3 linked regions of the Caenorhabditis elegans genome follow. The protein of the gene in region 3 interacts with the protein of the main gene of each other region in a pairwise test. Each region holds a gene or a part of one and is shown on either strand. Other genes may lie near its edges.

What was found. Proteins that work in one complex are often made in the same cells at the same time.
Region 1: the proteins of syp-3 (region 3) and atz-1 interact in a two-hybrid assay, tested with the Caenorhabditis elegans proteins (2 studies listed by BioGRID).
Region 2: the proteins of syp-3 (region 3) and grl-24 interact in a two-hybrid assay, tested with the Caenorhabditis elegans proteins (2 studies listed by BioGRID).

What each region holds. Positions count from the first base shown.
Region 1 is NC_003282.8:12,373,963-12,378,606, forward strand, and holds atz-1 (Protein atz-1), read right to left. Parts: upstream 2,160-4,644; 5' UTR 2,092-2,159; coding exon 1,796-2,091; intron 1,745-1,795; coding exon 1,667-1,744; intron 1,316-1,666; coding exon 883-1,315; 3' UTR 719-882; downstream 1-718. Other genes in the region: wdr-46 (WD repeat-containing protein 46), read left to right, coding at 1-36, 406-717. UniProt on the Caenorhabditis elegans protein: Plays a role in meiosis, germline development and oocyte morphogenesis. May play a role in DNA replication.
Region 2 is NC_003282.8:17,474,597-17,478,027, reverse strand, and holds grl-24 (Ground-like domain-containing protein), read left to right. Parts: upstream 1-2,184; 5' UTR 2,185-2,189; coding exon 2,190-2,309; intron 2,310-2,351; coding exon 2,352-2,543; 3' UTR 2,544-2,693; downstream 2,694-3,431. Other genes in the region: F11E6.9 (TransThyretin-Related family domain), read left to right, coding at 2,694-2,915, 3,410-3,431; gba-3 (Putative glucosylceramidase 3), read right to left, coding at 1-95, 144-310, 360-643, 710-919.
Region 3 is NC_003279.8:8,662,293-8,666,372, forward strand, and holds syp-3 (Synaptonemal complex protein 3), read right to left. Parts: upstream 1,829-4,080; 5' UTR 1,823-1,828; coding exon 1,720-1,822; intron 1,667-1,719; coding exon 1,619-1,666; intron 1,576-1,618; coding exon 1,322-1,575; intron 1,258-1,321; coding exon 1,191-1,257; intron 1,145-1,190; coding exon 942-1,144; 3' UTR 768-941; downstream 1-767. Other genes in the region: mrt-1 (5' exonuclease Apollo), read left to right, coding at 1-167, 214-468, 569-767; F39H2.3 (Aminomethyltransferase folate-binding domain-containing protein), read left to right, coding at 2,684-2,787, 2,843-3,075, 3,118-3,275, 3,346-3,430, 3,565-3,659, 3,775-3,942. UniProt on the Caenorhabditis elegans protein: Plays a role in early meiotic events; during prophase I contributes to synaptonemal complex (SC) assembly, synapsis and chiasmata formation and stabilization of homologous chromosomes pairing.

The DNA of each region.
Region 1 (4,644 bases), on a different chromosome or scaffold from region 3:
AGAAAGGAAAGAGAAATCAAACAATTGTTGGATAAGGTATGGAATTTATTTTATTCGATTTTGATATTTGAAGTCTGGATGTCAAAAACTCTATTTTTTATGATTTTATCATGAAAATCGAAAGCACCTCACCAATAAAAAAGAAACCTTTAAAAAATTTTCTCCAAAAAAATCTTGATTTCTCTATATTTCATGAAAACTTTAGTTACAAAATTATGTTCAATCTCGAAAAAAATGAGATTTTTTTTGAAAATTTATTTCAGACTACTTGGTTCTAAATTTCACAAAAGTTTTCCACGGAAAATTCGGAGTTTTCTTATACTACAGCAATTTAGAAGACCCTTCTTTGGCAAGCGAAAAAAATTTTTGCAAAAATTGTAATGCTAACTAAATTCTAATTTTCAGATTCAACCGGAGCTCATCAGTCTTAACCCAGACGACATTAACAAGGTCAATGAGGGACTTCTCGAGTTGGAAGAGGAAGAACGAAAGAAGATTCTCTACATTCGTCCGATGGCTGTTCAATATACGCCACGTCACAAGATGCGCAGCAAGAAGAGTGGTTGGAAGATGGAGGCTCGTAAGAATATTGTCAAGGATCAGATTCGAATGGAACGGAATATGGAGAAACATGCGGTGGAGAAGGAAGTTTTTGAAGCACCGGAAGTGGATGACGAGGCTCCGAAAAAGAAACACATTCTGGATCGTCTCAAATAGAAGGATAATCAATTTTATTTTTTGTTGTTGTTGATTTTGCGTTATTTTCGTTTTGTTTTTACTGAATTTTTGAAATTATTTCTTTAAAAGATTTGACATTTGGAAATTTATGAAACGAAGGAAAAAACAAACAGTAAAATAAAAAAGTAGAAACTAGTATGTATTTTATTCGTAATCTTCCTCTTCTCCCTCCTCATCATACTCTTCCTCATCCTCAAAGTCTTCTTCAACCTCGTAGTTCTCCTCCTCTTCATAATCTTCTTCCCCTTCCTCTTCTTTCATAAGATCGTCATTCTTCTTCTGAAGATCCGCAATGATCTTCTTCTGGGCTTCCAACTGCCCCGTCGTCTCGATCATCATCGCCTGGATCTTCAACGTGAGCGCCTCTTCGAATCGATGCTTGTCCTCCAGCTCTTCAAGCCGTTTCATATAGACTTCAGTGAGCTTGTTCGCATCGTCGACCTGTTTCGTGAGGCTCTCGATGGCCATCGTCTTTTTCTTGGATTCTCTAGCAGCACTGTCCAATGCATTAATCGTCAATCTCAAAACACCCTCTGGTGGAATACCAGTTTTCGCTGCTGGCATCAAATTTTTGATTCTGAAAAGTGTTACTTTTTGCATTTGTGCTTGTTATTATGGGGACGCAAAAAATGGTTTTTTGAAATCATCAAGGCACAAGCGCGCTCCAATGATGGGTCTCATTAGGTATTGGCAGGAAACTCGTAAATTCAAACGTTTTTGTTGTTATTATCGATTTTAATGTCGAAATGGTCTTTAAAGATGCATTTGAATAAGGGTTTCTCGTGTATTTTACATGATTTGTTTCGACATAGAAATAGTGGAAAAACTCTTGAAAAAATTTGAATTTCTGATTTTGCCTTCGCCAATACCTAACGAGACCCAACTTTAGAGGCGTTGCGTTTTAACTTGGGTAGGCTCCGAAACTCACCGTTTTTCATTCTCAGGATCTGTGCTCTCACCAAGGTTAGCCACAAGTAATTCGATTCTCAAGAATGTCTGATATGACCTGAAAAAATAATTCGATAAATTTTAGGAACTCAAATTCTTAAAAACTCACTCATCAATTTTCGCATCCCTTTTCTGCTGTGCTTCCCTCAAAAGTTTCTCCAATCGACCAATTTCCTCATTTGCTACTTGTTTTCCTTCTTTCGTCTCCTTTTCAAGATCCGAAATTCTTTCCGTGGCAACTCTCAATTTCTCACTCAAACATTCCACATATTCGACATTCGAATCAGTCTTCTTCGCATCGAAAAGCTCTTTTCGTTGCTCCAAAAACTTTTCAGTGAGCACTTTGAATTGCAAGTTCTTCGCGGCAAGCTCGGTTTGCACATTGCGGAGTTCGATCGAAGCCATTATTTGAATATTACAGACAGAAAAAGGGTGACAACCAGTCGATAGGGACCTGTGCGAGTGAAATGAGACAAGAAGAGGAGCACTGCTAATAGATGGTATCTACCGTAGCAGTTGACCTTTCCAAGAGGTAGACACGTCATCATTGTCTGACATACTATGTTTGCTCTCTCTCTCTCTCTCTATATGGTCTCGAAGGGAAGGAGATTAGGTCATAGGAGACGTTTATTGGAATGAAACACTTCATTAAAAAGGGTAATTAGTGAACTAGATGAGCTAAATGCATATTCAAATTTGTAAAAGGCCACCTAAAATGTTATGCATTGTCAAGAGAAATGGCAGTACTACCTAAACTGTGGCTGTGAAAATTATCTGGATTAATTTTTTGAAACCTAAAGAACGGTCATTGATAGTCAGAACTTTAGTTAATATATTTTTCTTGCATTTTTACATTTTTTGGGTAAAAAAAGGTGTCATGTTCAAAGTTTCCATTAGTTTTCAATATCTGAAGCTCTTTTTACCAAACGTTGAATCAAAAATAGGTGACAGACATTATTCCAATTTCAATTACCAACTTGTATTCTAGGCATTTTCTTTCTGCTACAAACTTTCTGCAACACTTTTTTTTGTGAATATTAACCAAAAAGTTGGCATGACAGACGCCGAATTAAATAGTTGATTGGTCAGATAACTGTATCTTTTTTCTCATGTTATCAGTGAAGCAAGAATCAAAAACTTTCAATAAACCGAAAATAGTTCATTCGAAAAAAAAATTATCTAGAAATTTCAGTTAAGTTTTTGGTAAAAAATTCAAAAATTCAACAAAATTGAACGGTATACGACGAAGGTTTCAAGCACACGAACATTGTTGAGTTGTCAAATGGATAAGTGTATGCACCTGGACATGCATTCTTGAACATCTTCGTTGTAGAGCTCATTGTGCATTTATCTGGAGAATCATACTCCCCACGGCAGCATTCCTTATCAGTTCCATATCCAAGACATCCAGATTTACACCCAACAGTGTAACCTGAACTACTCTTCACTGCAAGTTCTGTAGGGCATGCAGCATTTACATCAGAGATGCATCCACCGGCTCTTTGACATCCCAACCCATCAATTAACATTGGGAGATTGTAACCATCGATTAGATTAACTGCATAAAAGTCTCTTCCAGCCCAAGATTTCAAATTGAATTCTGCGACAGATGCGGGTGGAGTTCCTGTCCTTCCATTGCATTGTTCTGCGTTCTGGAAAAAGTGTAAAACTCTCAAACCTTTTTCATTTTTTTTCAAGACTTCGGGTATTCCCAATTTCGGATGTTTTGAAACTTATTCAGTATATGCGTGTGAATTCTGCGAAACGTTTGAAACTTCCTGTCAACATTTACTGTTGAGAAGCTTGCCCAAAGTTTGGCAGAAAGTAGCAAAAATTTGGCAAAAAGATTATATAGTTTCGACGACCGTAAAACGTGCCCAGAGTTTGACAGAAAAAAGACCAAAAATTTGCCCGAAAATGAAAATGTATTTTGGTAATAGATTTTGGAATATTCATCAAAAAAAAAATGATGTACGTCCTTGACAATTCACGACTTTCAGATATTCTAGAACATCTAAAGTACTTTTTCGTATTTCCCTTTTACACAATTTTTTGGCTGAACTTAAAAAATTGTTCAAAATGTTTTGATCAAATATCCCCAAGTGTTTATTTGTTTCAAAACTTCCATAGAAACTTATACTTTCAAAATGATACACTGTTAAAGTATAGATCTATAGACTTCAAAAAAGTTACATTCAAACTACGGAAAACTCACCAAACAAGTTCCAGTCTCACAATTGAAATCTCCATCACATCCAGTCCGTGCCCAAATCTTTCCATTTCTCCAATCATCATCCACATTTAAATACTTTGCCGCCCACGCATCTATTATTATAGACTACGATTGTCCGGCTGTTCACAGTGAGGAGCAGAGATATAAGTAGAATCCAGATGGAAATCATCTGAAATTTTAAATAATTGCTGATCGATTATGTTTATAAAAATTGTTTGCAAAAATATTCGTAAAAGACTACTGTAGTCAACTTCCCGTAATGTAAAGTGTCTTCCTTACATACTTTCCTTTCCGATAACAAAAGTTTGTCCAATTTTGAACCAACTGTAGCATTGTTCCTTAAATACTCCTCTAGCTGATCTAAAGACCAATCGAGTTCGCACCGCCCGTTTATTTTCAATTGAACATTTCCTGCAGAAACTCCACTGCTTTCTGTACCCATCGCATTTTTCTCAATTCATGGAGTTGATTCCATTTCTGATTACCTTCTGATTGGGACAAATTCGTTATCAGTGAACAGTTCAAAATGAAAGTAAATACGAAATGAGAAGATTATAAAGATTTTTAAAAAGAATTCACCGGAAATGGGCAGAAGAAAACCACGTGGATCGATCAAACGGAAGGTTTCCAACAACTGTTTGTTGGAACATTTTGGATCTAGAGGTCAGATACACTACTGCTACCGCAAAACTCTAATTTGATGACCCAATCTTAGGCGTTTCCTA
Region 2 (3,431 bases), on a different chromosome or scaffold from region 3:
GCCATCTCCATGCCATGTCAGCTCCTGTTGATGGCTCATTTTGAATTGTTAGTCCCCAAAAGGTAATTGCATGAGATGAATAGGCTTCGAAAAATCTTTTAAAAATAATAATTCAGTGTTTTCGAATAAACACAAAAACTTACTTAAAAAAATAATCAGCGTACGCTTGATAAACACGCTTATCATTTCTCATAGCTCCTCCGCCCCTCATGCGTCCAGTAACTTTCATCCATCCAGGAGCTGACCATGGACTGGCAAATAATTGAATGTTTCCTTCAGTTTTTTCAATTGCTTTCTTGATAAATGGAATCTGAAAGTTTCAGTCTTTTTTTTGAAGTTTTGCCGTTTATTAAAATTACCTTTAGTTTTAAATCTTCATCAGGTAATGCAAAATGTTTTAATTCAAAATCATCATGAACGTCATCATAGCTATATTCATGAGTAGAAAAATCACAACTGGCTATTGGAACTCTTCCTATATTATATTCTAATCCATTTTTTCCAAAATATGAATCAACGATATAATTTTGAAGTGTCTCCGATAAGGAAACAAATTGATCGCCGGCAGAATCAGTAAATGCTCCTCCAAAACCAAAAATATTTTGAAATCTTTCACTGGCATCTATTGTAATTGTCACATTAACTATAAAACATTTAATAATTGGAGGATGATTTGCACCTCGGAAATGTGTTAGATAAGTATTCTTACCTGATTCATTTTTTCTCAATTTCTCTTTCATTTTCATACTCATGCGTTTCAATCTATCGCCGTCCAAACTTGATCTATAAACAATTGCCTTCCCTTCAGCTATCTCTCCTATTGGCTCAATTTCATCGCAAAACGTTGCGTTGCAAACACAAACAATGTTGAGAAACGCGCCGTCATAGGTTTTTGGGTTGCATTGAAAAGAAGCATGACCTAAAAGAATATTAATACTGAACGGTAAATCATTCTCACTTTATTCATTGTTTGGGAAACTCAAAACTACCTCCCCACACCTAAAACCGAATATCATTAAAAGACTTCTCAAAAATTTATCTATGATTTTTTGGAGCCATTAAAACCGAAAACTTATTATGAAGTCTCATTAGGGAATGCAATTTTTAGTCAGTGTGGGTTTTTTTTTAAATTTAATCCAAAGCAATTTAGCCTTAGAACGTTTTTTTTAAAGAATAGTCCAAGTGAAACCTGTTTTTAAATTTTTTTATGATCTAGTTTTTTTAATAAACTAGAGATTTTCTTTCATGAATTTCTCACATTTTTCATTCAAACAGAAAAAAAACGCTGATTGTAAATCAACCAAATATAAACATACCGATTTCAAACATAAAACTTAATAGGCACAAAATAACGACCTTCCATCTTGACATTATTGGAAACTACTGACGACTGCAGGGCTCGAATGAACAGTTGCTCTTTACTTCCCATGATTTATCTTATCAATTTCTTGGCCAAGATGACCATTGTGTAACTTTTCTTGTGTTTGGGGCAATGTTTAACATGTTATAGTAACAAAATTATAAACTTAGCTCTGATAGGAAACGGATTATATTAATAAATTATAACTGTAAAAGTGTATTTCACAATGTTCCTATGATTTATTAAACTTTTCATAAAAAATTTCAATTCCGATTATATTATACGGTTTTTTTTGTTTTTGCTCTGTTACATGGTTTTAACAACCTATTTCAAATTTTCCGAGACTGCAAAAATTTTAAATAAGAAGAAAAACTATCAATTTATAGTGAAAGTTTTAAGTTTCAACGATGTTTGTTAGTATTAAGTATCAAGGTTTATTGAAAAGTGTCTAAAAATCAAAAAAAAAGATGCTTCAACTGGAAAAAAATCAACTGGTAATTCATTTACTCATAGTCAGGAATTCAAACTTATTTCAGACATTCTTTGGTTGAATCATTTTTTTAAATCGATAGAATACTATTAAAGAATCGATGAATGTTTACAATTAACCCTTTATTTTTTAATAATAAACCAACAGTTTTTACAACTAATCGTATCAATTTGGACGTGACACACAAATGTTTTTTCATAAAATAACACTTGAAAAACACGTTTAGCTGAAAATAATACTTTCCCGTGAACTAATAAAAACAAAAATTGGTACTGCAACCAATTAAACTACCTATAAAAGTAAAAAGGTCTCCAGGAACAGAGGTCATTTAAAGTTAATATGTCTTCTTTATTATTATTGTTAGTACTTGTCATGTTTTTCACTCTGGCATCATGCCAAGATGATAATTTTGAAGGTGAACGTTGTAATGACGTTATTTTGTATGATATTATAAAAAAGGTGGGTTGAAACAGTTTTAAAATAATTATTCCGTATTCTTAGGCCTCCAAAAAGACTGACGATCCGGTAATAATACGAAGAACTTCAATGGACACAATGCAAAATGTGTTTCCTTTGGCAAGAAGTATGGGATGTATTTGTACCGATCGAAACTTCCAATTTCCTGATTTCACAAATCACAGATACTGTTCTGTTAGAGTTTCAAATTTCAGGTGTCATGCAATTGTCTTTTAGCTACTAAATTTACATTTAATCTTTGATTTTGATGTATTTTATCATTGTTTCCGTACATGTGATATCATTATGACCTACAAACCTATATATTTATTCGTTTCTGTTTCTCGTCATTCACACCAATTTTGACTTATACCACGCACCTTTAAGATGAAAATTTTGCGAATTTTTTCATTCATTTCTGTTTTTGTTATTATGGATTGTTGCAAATTCAACGCTCAAGTAAGATCGGAAACAGATAGGGATGTATGGGCCCAGTTCACCTGGTTCAACAAAACGGATTCCGAAATTTTTAAATTTTCGAAGTATGGGGAAACAAAGAATTTTACAATCACTGGAACTATATGCAACTTGTCTCCAACAATTTTAAAAGTAAGTTTAATGCCCGCTAGTGTATATGGGGTGGGCGGCAATTGCCGAATTATCAAGAAAAAATTATCAAATCCGCAAAAATTATCAAAAAAAAATTCAATTCTCCTTTATGAAAATTTTCGCGGGTTGGAAAATTATATATCTCTACGACAAAAACACTTACTACATATACTTCCTTTTACGTTCAATTTTCGTCATTTTTTTTTCTGTATTTTACAAATTTTTCTGTTTAGTTATTATACCACAGCAGTTGTTGTCTCATAGTCAGTTTTTTTTACACTTCAGTAACAAACAATATGCAAGAAAAAATAACACGTTACAGTGTTATTTAATTTAATTTATTTACGCTCGCGAGGAGACGTGGAAAAAGTTGAAGAAAAAAGAAAAATGTACACATATAATAGATCAATCATGAATTTTTGACTTGACGATTTTTTAGAACAGTTGCGTGAAATGTGAAATATGTTTTTATCATGCCAATTTTAACTTTTCAGTCGTGGGAACAGTTTCCTAAGA
Region 3 (4,080 bases):
CATAGACTTGGGCGTGAAGAATTGATTCAAGCAATATCTCGAATATTGAATGAACCCATTATGGTTTATGATGAAAGAAAAGTTATTTCAGATTTATTAGACTTTTCATCAAACTGTGGAGTTTTGAAACAGTATCGAGATATTAAAGTTATCAAAAAAGGAAGCTAGTACGGCTTTCCATTTTTAAACACATCAAATAATCCTTTATTTTAGTTGTGAAATATCTCAAAATTCGGTGATAATCGACATATCGATGCTCTATTATACGTTTGGAAATGGTGTCAACGACGACGAGGGAATCATTAGAATTCCATATTCCGACCACTCTTCAAGAAGTGAAATTCTTAAATTTCTCAGTCATTTTCACTTTAAAACGATTACGCCGTGTACTAAAAAGTATTCTATCATTGAGCTGGCATCTTTGGAAAATGCAGGAAAACGATCAGAAGAGGACCACACAGTAGAAAAGTAAGTTAGTCTCATTATTGAAGCACGACTTTCGAAAAAGGGAAAGTTATTCATATTCCCAAAATTGTGAATTTTAATTAATAGGAACATCTTACTTTAGGACTCAATCTACTATCCAAGGAACACCCATTTCACAACTTCAAGAAGACCCTCTACCGCCTGGAGTTGTATTTCGAACGAATACATGCGATTTTATGGATATGGACTTGGACAATTGGCCGGAAGGACCTCCGAAAACATTTGCGGAAGCTATCGCTCGGGCCAATAATTCAAGAAGGCCGAGAAATCCAGGACTATAATTTATTAAAACTTCACAACGGTTGATGCAATAAAATTAAATATTACATGATAAGCATTCGACATGATGAAAGTTTAGGATAACAGAACGATTTGAAAAAAGATTATTCAATTTTTAATATCATTACAGTTCGATTAACAGTTGCCCACATTTTGGCTGTTCTGATTCTTTTAATTCATGTAGAAAGTCGGGCTTTCAGAGCTTCTTCTTGTAGACGACATTTTTGGTACTCACTGCGCAGTTTGGCAACTTGATAATGGAAAATAATGCGAAGAGTGTTGCGCTCTTTGTAGGTCGCTCCACATGTTGGACGGAGAGAAGGAATCATTTCAGAAATAGTCGATGATTGATCAGCGATGGCGACTTCTAGTTGTTTCTCTGCAAGTTTAGTTGATAATACCATCAAAATTTTTTTTCAACTTACTTTCAATGTTTAATTCATCCAGATTGTTTTTGAGTGAATTGAATTGACCATTCATCGAATCATGTGACTGAAAATATAACATTCAGAAACCCACTCTTTTTAAAAATTATAAAGTTATCGAGCAGACTTACCAAGTTGTTCATCGATTTAATTAATGAATTGAAGTGATCTCCGAACTGTGTACCCGCACTGTCCACATCCTCGTTTTCCAAATAAGACATTAGTTCATCATAGGCTTTTTCTTGTCTCTCTTCCCAGTCTCTTTTCTGTTCAGACAGTTTATTGTCAGTTGCTGTCAAATCCTGAAGCTGTCTTTCTAGACTTTCTCGTTGAGCAGCACATTTAACCCTGTCTTCAGCAATTCGCTCGGTGAATGAAGTTTCGGCTGAAGAAAATTTTAAAGTTGAGCCTTTTTCAATCTGTCAAACCTTCAAGCTGTTGAGTTTCGATTTGCCTCATTCCTTTTTCTATGGCCTCTGAAAATGTATTTTTAAATTCATATTTCATTGATGTTTGCCTCAAAACATACCTCTTTCCCCAGCGAGCGAGTTGGTGAACTCAGTGAGCTGCCCGCAGAAAATTTTGAATCGGTCACCATTTACTGCCTGACTGACAAGCTTTTCGAAATTCATTTATCTCTGAAATTGGAGATATTGAAATGGCCAATTCACAATAGAAAATAAAAATATTTAAAATTAACAAAAAACCGTAGCGTGTTTGCGATCGTTGCGAGACCCACATGACTTAAGAACAACGTGAGCCTTTAAACCGTATGTTTTCATGAACAGTTTTATTTTTATTCACTCATTAAACACACAAAATATTCATTTTTTAAATATGTATTCGCTTCGACAATTTTTAATTCAAATTAATTTTATTAAATTTAAGCAACAACCTACACTCAAAATAAAAAAACTGCGTGGCCTGTACTGCAGAAAACCTCATTTTTAGGCCCCGCCTTTTTCTCGTCCACTCACGGACAAAAGGCAAAAATTTGGGGACCAACCAATATCAGGCCGCCGACATCCTACGGGTTCCGCGCGCCGCTAGGATTAACTCGCTGTGGGCGTGGCGAGCTGTCTCCGCCCGCTGCGAGTTAAACATAGCGGCGCGCGGAACCCGTAGGATGTCGGCGGCATGATATTGGTTGGTCCCCAAATTTTTGCCTCCACTCCGTGAGTGGACGAGAAAAAGGCGGGGCCTAAATATGAGGTTTTCTGCAGTACACGCCACGCAGTTTTTTTATTTTGAGTGTAGTTTGTCCCAAGCTTAGGCAAATTATAATTATTCCCAGCTTTCAATGCGACGTACTTGGTGCTTCATCCTAAATAGTTTGCTGCTAATCCAAGCGCTTGTTTTCTTTTTCAAATTTCCTCGCTCTACTTGCGGCCGCGGACGAAATTATTCGGCACGGCCATATGATCATCCCCGTTGCGAAATTTACTCTAACATATTTTAATATGTTTTCTTGTGATTATCAAACTTTTTTACAGATGTCAACACAAAGATTAATTAAATTGCCTCATAGAGTTCTTTTGAAACTTCATGGCTCTGACACAAACGCGTTTCTTCAAGGTTTAATTACAAATGATGTGACGTATGTTTTTATACTCTAAAAATTACAGCGAAAATGATTACATCTTATTTTGCAGAAAACTTCAAACTCAAAATGGACTTGCTGCTTTTTTGCTCAACACAAAAGGGAGAATTGTTGAAGATGTTCTTCTATGGAGACGAGGAACTGATGATTTGTTCTTGGAATGTTCTAAAGAAAATAAAACTATTTTAACAAAAGAAATCTTGAAATATCGATTGAGGAAACAAGTTGAAATCACCGAATCTTCCGATCAAATATTTTTCACAGAAGATGTATCGGACAAACAAGGTAGAAAATGAACGTCAAAACTTTAATAACATTTTATTTTAGCTCACCGCGATCCTCGATTTTCTGGTTTTGGAGCTCGCGTTTTCGGTAATCCGTCTTCATCGGAAGTTAGCGAAAATCGAGAAAAATATGAAAATTTGCGACGATCTGCTGGAATTGCAGAAGGATCTCAAGAATTGGCGGAGTTGCTTCCTTTTCAGGTAAAAATACAACAGAAGCAATTTAAATGAAATATTTCTAAAAGTTCATTTTCAAATATTATTTTTTAAGGCAAACGGTGATCTGCTCAATATGGTTTCACTTGATAAAGGATGTTATGTTGGACAGGAATTAACTGCAAGAACTGCTCATACAGGTTACTTCAACTAAATTTAGATATTTGGAGACGTGAAATCTCACTTTCCTTTTTATTTAGTAACTTGTCAATTAAATTTTTGTAAAACCCACAAAACTAGTTCAATTTGATTTTGAAAAATTAAATTTTGACAGGTGTTATCCGTCGACGAATCTTACCATTTGAATGTGAAGGTCAAGTCAAAATTGGAGCAGAAGTTCTGGACGAGAAGAAAAATAAAGTCGGAAAGGTGTGTTTAAAAGTTATAGTGATAAAAAATTCATCTAAACGTTGGAATTATCTGGAGTCAATTCACTGTCAAAAATTGAAAAACAATAGTTTCTGTTCAATTAAAAAATCTTCAGATTATCTCTTCTGACACAACTCGTTGCCTGGGAATTCTTCAACTTTCTTCATTCAAATCTCAAAAATTGACAGCTGATGGAGTTTCGTTAACCGCAAAGCAACCTGAATGGATGCCTGATAAGATTTTAGCGAATAATAAAACTAGAACTAGCTTGACGGATTCTTAAATTTTCTATGATATTTAGGAGACATTTCTTTAAATTCGATTTTCATCTTATTCGGAAGTAGACTTTTTTTGAAACACTTTTCTTCTTTTCGTTTTATATTTTTTGTAGATTTTAGTTTCGTTTTCAAGATCACAAATG